Callithrix jacchus: one gene and its partner. The protein of the gene in region 1 interacts with the protein of each later gene in a biochemical or structural test. Links are inferred from orthologs where the notes say so. Each region holds a gene or a part of one and is shown on either strand. Other genes may lie near its edges.

Region 1 (3,803 bases):
TGCCACCCCTTTTCACCAGGCCTCATGAGTCCCGCACCAAGCCACTTAACACCTCCACTGACCCTGCCTCTGCCCAGTGACCCTCCCTACTGACCTAACCCAGATCAGTGACTTCTGCTGACCTCTACCACCCCTACTGACCTCCAGGGTCCCTCCATTCACTCATCACACTGCCTATCAAACACCCTTCCAGACCCAACACACTGGCCCCCAGCACACCCACTTCTGACCCCAGCCCATTGTGGGGTCACACAGCACCTCCACCAGGAGGAGAATCAGGCACTGCAGCCCTGAACTGGGAGGCTCAGCTGGGAGTGCTGGGTGGGCTGGACGTCGGCACCCCTCGCCCCACAGCCTGCATTCCGTGTGCAGCACCTGGACTGGCCCCCACTTTTCCCTGGCTGTCCCACGCTTTTCCCTGGCTGTCCCCTAGTCTCCTGTTGCCTGCCATCATCCTCTGCCCTCTGCACTCCCTCTTCTCTCCCCAGCTGACCTCCCTCCCAGCCCACTGAGCTGTAAGCTGGCCCTTTCTGACTCCAATCTACTTCTCCCACCATCCAGGTCCCTTATGTGCCCCGGATGTGCCTCCCGTACCCGTCCCTGTCCCCGGCCCAGCCCAGCTCTGATGAGGAGGAGGGCGAGCGACAGAGCCCCCCACTGGAGGTGTCTGACGGCGAGGTGGACGGCCTGGAGCCCGGGCCTGGGCTCCTGCCCGGGGAGACAGGTGGGGTGCCTGGCCCTCCACCCCAGCCCCGCCCCTGGCTGTGTCTGTGCCCTGCCCCCACCCAGCCAGGCTAACTGACCCAGCAGCCATGCCACCGAGTGTATGTGTGTGTGTGTGTGTGCCATGTTTGCCAATGTGTGTGTTTTGTGGGGCTGTCTGTGGCTGTCTCTATGTGTGTGTGGGTATCTGCTGTGAGTGCATGCAGGCATCTTCATGAAGTGTGCCAGGTGTGGGTGTCTCTCTGTGCCCCGAGTATGTGTGGATCTGGGTGTGAGCAAGTGTGTGTGAACAGGTATGGGCAGGTGAATGTGTGTGAGTGGCCGTGAGTGGGTGTGTGTGAAGGTGAATGTGAGAGCTGGTGTGGATGAGAGTGGGTGTGGGCATGTTTGTGTGTGTGTCAGCATATGAATGCATTTCAGTGTGTGTGTGCATGTGTGTGAGGTGTGCAGGTATCACATGAGTGGCTGTCAGCAGTGTGTGTGCATGTGTGAGCATGGTGTGTGTGAGTGGGTGTGTGAGCAGGTGTGTGTAATATGTGTGAGTGGAGGTGTGGGAGGTGTGTTGTGTGAGCATGTGTGTGAGCAAGTATGTATATGTGAATGTGTATATGAGCGGGGGCATGTGTGATATGAGTGTGAATGGTTATGAGTGTGGGAGCAGGTGTGTGTAAGTGGATGTGAGTGGGTGTGAACATGCTTGTGTATGTAAGCAGGTTCAAGTGTGAGCAGGAAGGTGTGAGCTGGGGTGTGTGAGCATGTATGTGTATATGTGAGGTTTGCACATGTATCTGAGTGGATGTGTTTTAGCAGGTGTGAGCATGTATGAGTTCTTGTGTGTGAGGGGGTGAGGGCATGTTTGAGCATCTGCGTGTGTGTGTGGTATGCATGTGAGTGGGTGTGTGAACAGGTGTGACAGTAGGTGTGTTGAGTGTGTGTGAGAATAGGTGTGAGTGGGCTGGGTGCAGTAGCTCACACCTGTAATCCTAGGCACTTTGGGAGGCCAAGGCAGGTGGATCACCTGAGGTCACATGTTTGAGGCCAGCCTGGCCAACACAGCGAAACCGTCTCTACTAAAAATACAAAAATTAGCCAGGCGTGGTGGTGCATGCCTGTAATCCCAACTACTTGGGAGGCTGAGGCAGGAGAATCGCTTGAACGTGGGAGGCAGAGGTTGCAGTGAGCCGAAATCGTGCAATTGCACTCCAGCCTGGGCAACAGAGCAAAACTCCATCTCAAAAAAAAAAAAAAGGAATGGATATGAGTGGGTGTGATGTTCGAGTGTGTGAGCAGGTGTGTGTGAGCATGCATGAATATGCATGTGTGTGAGCAGCTGTGAGTGGGTGTGTGAGCAGTGTGTGTGAGCAGGTTTATGTGTTGGCAAGTATGAGCATTTGAGTGTGCAAGTGGGTGCCCGAGTTGTTGTGTGAGCATGTGTGTAAGCATGCAGGTGGGTGTGGGTGTCAGAATGGATGTATGAGCAGAATGTGCATGCATATGTGAGCAGATGTGAGGTGCAAGTGTGTGAGTGGTGTGGTGAGGTGTGAATGTGTGAATGAGCTGGTGTGAGCGTGTGTAACCACATGTGTGAGCAGGTGAGGTGTGAGCAGGCATGTATGAGGTGTGAGCGTGTGGTGTGAGCATGTGTGTGCAGGTATGAGTGAATAGGTGTGTGTGTAATATGTGAGCATGTGTGTGAGGTGTGAGCTTGTGAGTGGGTACGAATGTGAGATGTGAGCATGTGTGTGAGCATGAGTGTGTGTGAGACCTGGTGTGAGCTGTGTGGGCAGGTGTGTTTATAAACAGGTGAGGTGAGTGTGACCGTGGGTGTGAGCAGGTGTGAGCAGGTGAGTGGGTGTGTGCGTGTGAATGGTGTGAGGTATATGAGGATGTGTGTGAGCAGGTGTGAGTGGGTATGGGGCATGAGAAAGTATAAGGTGTGTGTTATGTGGGTGTGTGAGCATGTGTAGGTGTGTGTTGCGTTGTGTGGGTGTGTGTGGTGGTGCAAGGTGTGAGTGCATGTGTGGTTGTCGGTGGGTGTGAACGAGGTGTGTGAGCAGGTGAGTGGGTACACGGTGTGGGTACATGTTTGGGAGTGAGTGTGAACGGGTGTGTGCGAGCAGGTGTGTGTGTGTGCATTAGTGTGGATGCGTTGTGTGTGTACACCCGGCGCGGGCTGGGGTAGCCATTTCCCTGCCTTTCCCGGCCACCTCCGTTCCCGGGTCCCCGTGCGTGCGCGTGGCGGTGGGGGCGGCTCCTGCGTGGGCCCCAGGCCCCCTCCCACCGGGCCCTCCCACCGCAGGCAGCAAGAAGAAGATCCGCTTGTACCAGTTCCTGCTGGACCTGCTCCGCAGCGGAGACATGAAGGACAGCATCTGGTGGGTGGATAAGGACAAGGGCACCTTCCAGTTCTCGTCCAAGCATAAGGAGGCACTGGCGCACCGCTGGGGCATCCAGAAGGGCAACCGCAAGAAGATGACCTACCAGAAGATGGCGCGCGCGCTGCGCAACTACGGCAAGACGGGGGAGGTCAAGAAGGTGAAGAAGAAGCTCACCTACCAGTTCAGCGGCGAAGTGCTGGGCCGCGGGGGCCTGGCCGAGCGGCGCCACCCGCCCCATTGAGCCCGCAGCCCCCGCCGGGCCCCGCCAGGCCTCCCCGCTGGCCATAGCATTAAGCCCTCGCCCGGCCCGGACACAGGGAGGACGCTCCCGGGGCCCAGAGGCAGGACTGTGGCGGGCCGGGCCTCGCCTCACCCGCCCACTACCCCCCCCAGCCCCTCCCTACAGCCCGCTTCGCCCCCCTCCGGGACTCCGCCCCGGCTGCAGGAGGCCACCTGGGCCTCGGAGGCCACCTGGGCCGCAGACCCCACGGGGCAACCTTGCTGAGGACGACCCGGGGTACTTCCTTGGGAATCTCAAGTGCCTGTGTAAATCAGACCTCCCTCACCCCTCCCACCCATTAACCTCCTCCCTGAAAACAAGTAAAGTTATTATCAGTCCATCCTTTGCAGCACAGAGAGTCTCCTTTAAAACTTGCCGTGTACCTCGTGTGCTGTGGCGTCTTTTTTTGTCATTTGTCCATC
Region 2 (4,327 bases), on another chromosome or scaffold:
TGAACTTGCCTGGAATGTTCTTTCCCCAGATATTCATAAGGGGGAGGAAAATGAGGGTGAAAACCAGTAGCTATCTAAACAGCATTCCCTTCACTCTTACTTTCTTTCTTGAAGCCTTTATCACTATGTGAAATTACATATTAGACTTATTTGTATGCTAGTATGACTCTCCCGGCAAGAATGTTAGTCTGCTGTCTGTTCAGTACTGTGCACCCAGAACCTGGAAGAGTGCCTGGCACATAGCAGGTAGTCAATAAATGAATGGGGGCAGGCAGCCAAATCAGAACCAGGTTTTCTTGCTAAGCACAGAACTAACACAAAGATCATTGCATGGATTGGATAATGACTGGCACCAGGGTAAGGTCCCCTTAACAAACATCCCTGTCCTGAACGCCTGGTTGGCTAACACTTTTTCTATACTCTTATTTTCCCAAAACACAGTTGCTGGATCTCAACTGCAAATCAACTCTTCTAGGAAAGTGAAAAACTGCTGGATCTCAGCTCCCAAATCACATCTTCCAGGAAGACCTAAGTGCAGCTTTCTCTGCGCTCCTTATTCACACCTCCACCAAACCATCTGATCCAACAATGACAGGTGTCACGAGGCCTTGGCATGCACTCTCTTCCCCCGCCAGAGTTCTGCGAAGGCCAGGGTTGGGATTTGTCGTCAGTTTATTCCCCGCCCCTATGAGCGTAAGCACCCGGCAGGCTCAGATGAAATAATGCAACGAGTAGGCCTCTGAAACCAAGGCCCCTCAGCTGGAGCAACGTCAGGCTCCAGGGCGGACAACTTTGCTGCTTCTGCTGAAGATGGTGATATTGAGAAAATGCGGGTGCAATGCAACCCTTTTGCAGCGCACTCGATGCATCTGCGGACAGAGGGTTTGCTTGGGACGCAAACAACGTCCCAAGCCTACACCTTCACTTGCCCCAGCATCCGCAAGGGCCCATTAATCCTTAACATTCAAATTCCGCCCACTAAACCCCTCCGCGCCCAAGCCGCCTCTTTTCCCCAAACGACGGCCGAAAGCAGCCAATGAACAGCTAGAGGGGTCTGCCCTCTTTTCCCTGGCCGAAATGGACAGAAAATCTCGCCAATTGACGACATCACCGCTGAGACTCCCCGCCCCAACCCGGCCGCCCCAGCCAATGACGGGTGGGCTCGCAGCTGCGCCGGGGGCGGGGCGCGGGCGCGCAGGTGCAGCAGCGCGCGGGCCGGCCGGGAGGGCGGGGCGCGACGTCGGCCGTGCGGGGTCCCGGCGTCGGCGGCGCGCGCGCTCCCTCCTCTCGGAGAGAGGGCTGTGGTAAAAGCCGTCCGGAAAATGGCCGCCGCCGCCGCCGCGCCGAGCGGAGGAGGAGGAGGAGGCGAGGAGGAGAGACTGTGAGTGGGACCGCCGTGGCCGCGGGCGGGGACCCTTGCTGGGGGGCGGGGGACAGGGGCGGGACGTGGCGCGGGAGGGGCCCGCGGGGTCGGACGACACGGCTGGCGGATGGCGTCCCTCCTCTGTACCCTCCCCCTCCCTCCGCCGGTGGCGACTCTCCCCCTCGGCCCGTCACCCGTGCTCGCGGGTGACCGTCCTCGGCGCGGCCTCCCCGGAGCCTCCTTCGCCTGGCGCACCTCTTTCTCCCGCCCTCTGCGCGCATCCCGGCCCCCGGCCCCCGGCCCCGCGGGCGCCGCTGTCGCCGGGGCTTCGCCTGTCGGGGCTGCGCGCGCTCCTGCCCTTTTCGGGGCTTTGGGCCGCGGCGTCGTCGCGCGCCCGCGGCCCCGGTCTCTCCCTGGATCGCGCTCTCCCCTCTCCCTCCCTCGCGCGCCCCCTCTCCCGTTACTCGGCCCCCCCACCGGCGCGCGTGCGCACTTCGCCTCCCGTCGGGAGAGTGCGCCACAAGGGCTCCTGCGCTCTCACCCCCATCTCCGGGCTTTGCCTCCCCCTCCTTCTCGCCCATTCCATGAATTTCTGCCCCCACTGCGAGCGAGTCGGTCCGCCGGCTCCTTTCCCCATCTAGCAGGAACAAGTAGGTGGGGATTATTGTCCACAAAAGGGACTAGACATTGTGTTCTGGGTCCCACAACTCATCATAAAGGGGTGGTTATAGTTCCCATCAGGAGCCGTGGGTAGGGTGCTGTGCGTCCAGCAGCACCCGAGGCTCTTCGGCGCCTGAGGCTCTTAGGTGTGAGCGTGTCCTCAGGGTGCTCAGAGGTTCTTTGGGGGTGCTGTGGCCTCGGAATGTGAGCACCCTCCCATCCTACCCCCCCTTCGCCGGCGATCTTCCAGTTACATAAGTGGAGTGGGACATAGTAGGTAACGGGCTCTCATCGCCCTGGAGCGCTCCGGATCACCGGTACGAGATGGGGCAAGTTTATCGCGACGCTGTGGCTACTGTTCATTGTGCCCGAAAGGTTATTCTCTGTTGAGTTTGGTTATGACCGAATCACCCAAACTGAAACTCAGATGACTTTTGTGTGGCAGTGGCAATGTTTCTGTGGTTTTGCACTAAAGACTTAGGGTCATTATGAAGAGTTTAAAAGGATTGCTCTCGAAGGGGAGACCGTTTATGACATTGATAAGTATGGACCCCGAGGGGGAAAAAGCTCATTCTGGAATTGCTCTGTGGGGGTTGCTTCTGTTGTGAGTGTGTTCGGGTGTGGGTTGGTCACAGCAGAAATGGGCTCCACCACAAAATTGATATTCCTGACTCATGGTCAGGCAGATGTGTGCTTCTGGTTATTTTTCCAGGAACAAGAATGGGCTCTGCCGAGCCTTTCACAGGTTGTCTGTATGCTGTGTGGGATCAGTACCCCAAACTGTTGAGATAACAGGATCGAATTCAGGGCTTGGTTGGTAATCGAGGAACCAAACCTACTTGGATCTGGTATTGAGTGGCCTGAACATTGAAGGGCTCTTCTAAGTTATAGGCATTTTGTTATACTGTAAAAATGAAGTATATACGGCCTCGGTAGTATCATTGCAGTCATAGATAATTATCACTCTAGAGAATTTTGGATTCCGTGCCTGGGATGTTCATCTGTGTCTCAGCAATTTCAGTTAATAACCAGAGTCAGCTGACCTCTTGGGTCTTTTGAAATATGCTAGGTCCCTATAATAAGACAGGGTCTGGATTTTTTCATCTTTTGGGAATTTCCACCAAGGATTTAGGAAAATAGGCTTATTTATGGGCTTTTCAGGATTTCTGTTTCAAATCCCAGTCAGGAGTCTAGGAAACACTTGCTTTTATTTTCTTACCTGGATATGTCAGAACCTTAAATAACACAGTCAATCTAGAAGTAGTAAGTACGGTTATTAAAATAAGTCACCAGAGGTCACCCATTCGTGGCAGGTCAGCTAGGTGGCTGATCACTGGAATACAGTCACATCCCCAGGCAGACACACAAGCCTCACTTGATGATCACAGAGTTTGTACATCTCAGCTTGAGACATGACAAGTTAAGGTCTCTGCTTTGTTCTTCATAGTTGGCAGTTTGTCTCCCTGGTACCCCTCCAGTTAGCTGTTTGTCACACGCCTAGCCCTTTCAACAGCACAGGCAGCTTCCAGAGTATAGTTTTCTCTGCAGGGTGCCTGTTGGAGGGGTACCTCCCTTTCCATTGTCCTAACGGCTTGAAGAAAATGTCGAAGGCTTTCTTGTTAGCACTGGCCTATCAAACCTTTCTATTGCCTGTTATTAAAATTTTGCCTGGAATACTTTAGAGTACCGGGTCTTTGTTTCACCTGATTGGTAGGAGAGTATCATGCAGTCAGCCGTATTCTGACTTTTGTGCTGTTGAAATCCTGAGGTAGGTCTGGGGCCAGGCACAGACCACTGTGTGTTCAAAGAGTTAGGGTGCTTGCATTCTGTGTGTATGTGTTTGTGATTTCCAACGAGTCATTTCCCGTGCCTGCCCTGCCTCTGTGCAGTCTCATCTATCGGGGCAGGGAGGCATGCTGTGGAGTTTGGGAAAAAAAAAAAAAAAAAACTGGCTAGATGAATTTAGGATGTTGTCCCTCCAGAACATTCCTCCCATGTGGAGATGGAACGAGAAGTTCATTTCTTTAACCTTACTGGAGCCCGGTTTCCACTGCAAATGTGCCTGCTTGGAACTCTGCATGATAAATGACGTGTCCTGGAACCTGAAATCTTTTACTAAGGCTAATATCAGCAGAAATCTTTTAATTAGCTAAGAGCAGTTTGTTCTCAGAATGCCCAAGTTATCTCGGAGGAGGAGAGAATCTCCGAAAATGTTTGGTATTACTAGTAACCAGTGTTTTCAGTGTGGGGGGTAAAGCACAGTCCTAGACTGGCCAGTTCCAAAGAGTGTGGCAGGACACCTGC

The links.
Region 2: the proteins of SPI1 (region 1) and MECP2 form a complex in vitro, tested with the Homo sapiens proteins (2 studies listed by BioGRID). The link is inferred for Callithrix jacchus from reciprocal best matches to the Homo sapiens genes SPI1 and MECP2.

The regions. Positions count from the first base shown.
Region 1 is NC_133511.1:112,413,163-112,416,965, reverse strand, and holds the end of SPI1 (transcription factor PU.1), read left to right. Parts: intron 1-561; coding exon 562-724; intron 725-3,022; coding exon 3,023-3,342; 3' UTR 3,343-3,721; downstream 3,722-3,803. UniProt on the Homo sapiens protein: Pioneer transcription factor, which controls hematopoietic cell fate by decompacting stem cell heterochromatin and allowing other transcription factors to enter otherwise inaccessible genomic sites.
Region 2 is NC_133524.1:150,008,259-150,012,585, reverse strand, and holds the start of MECP2 (methyl-CpG-binding protein 2), read left to right. Parts: upstream 1-1,289; 5' UTR 1,290-1,322; coding exon 1,323-1,381; intron 1,382-1,852; exon of another isoform or gene 1,853-2,013; intron 2,014-4,327. UniProt on the Homo sapiens protein: Chromosomal protein that binds to methylated DNA. It can bind specifically to a single methyl-CpG pair. It is not influenced by sequences flanking the methyl-CpGs.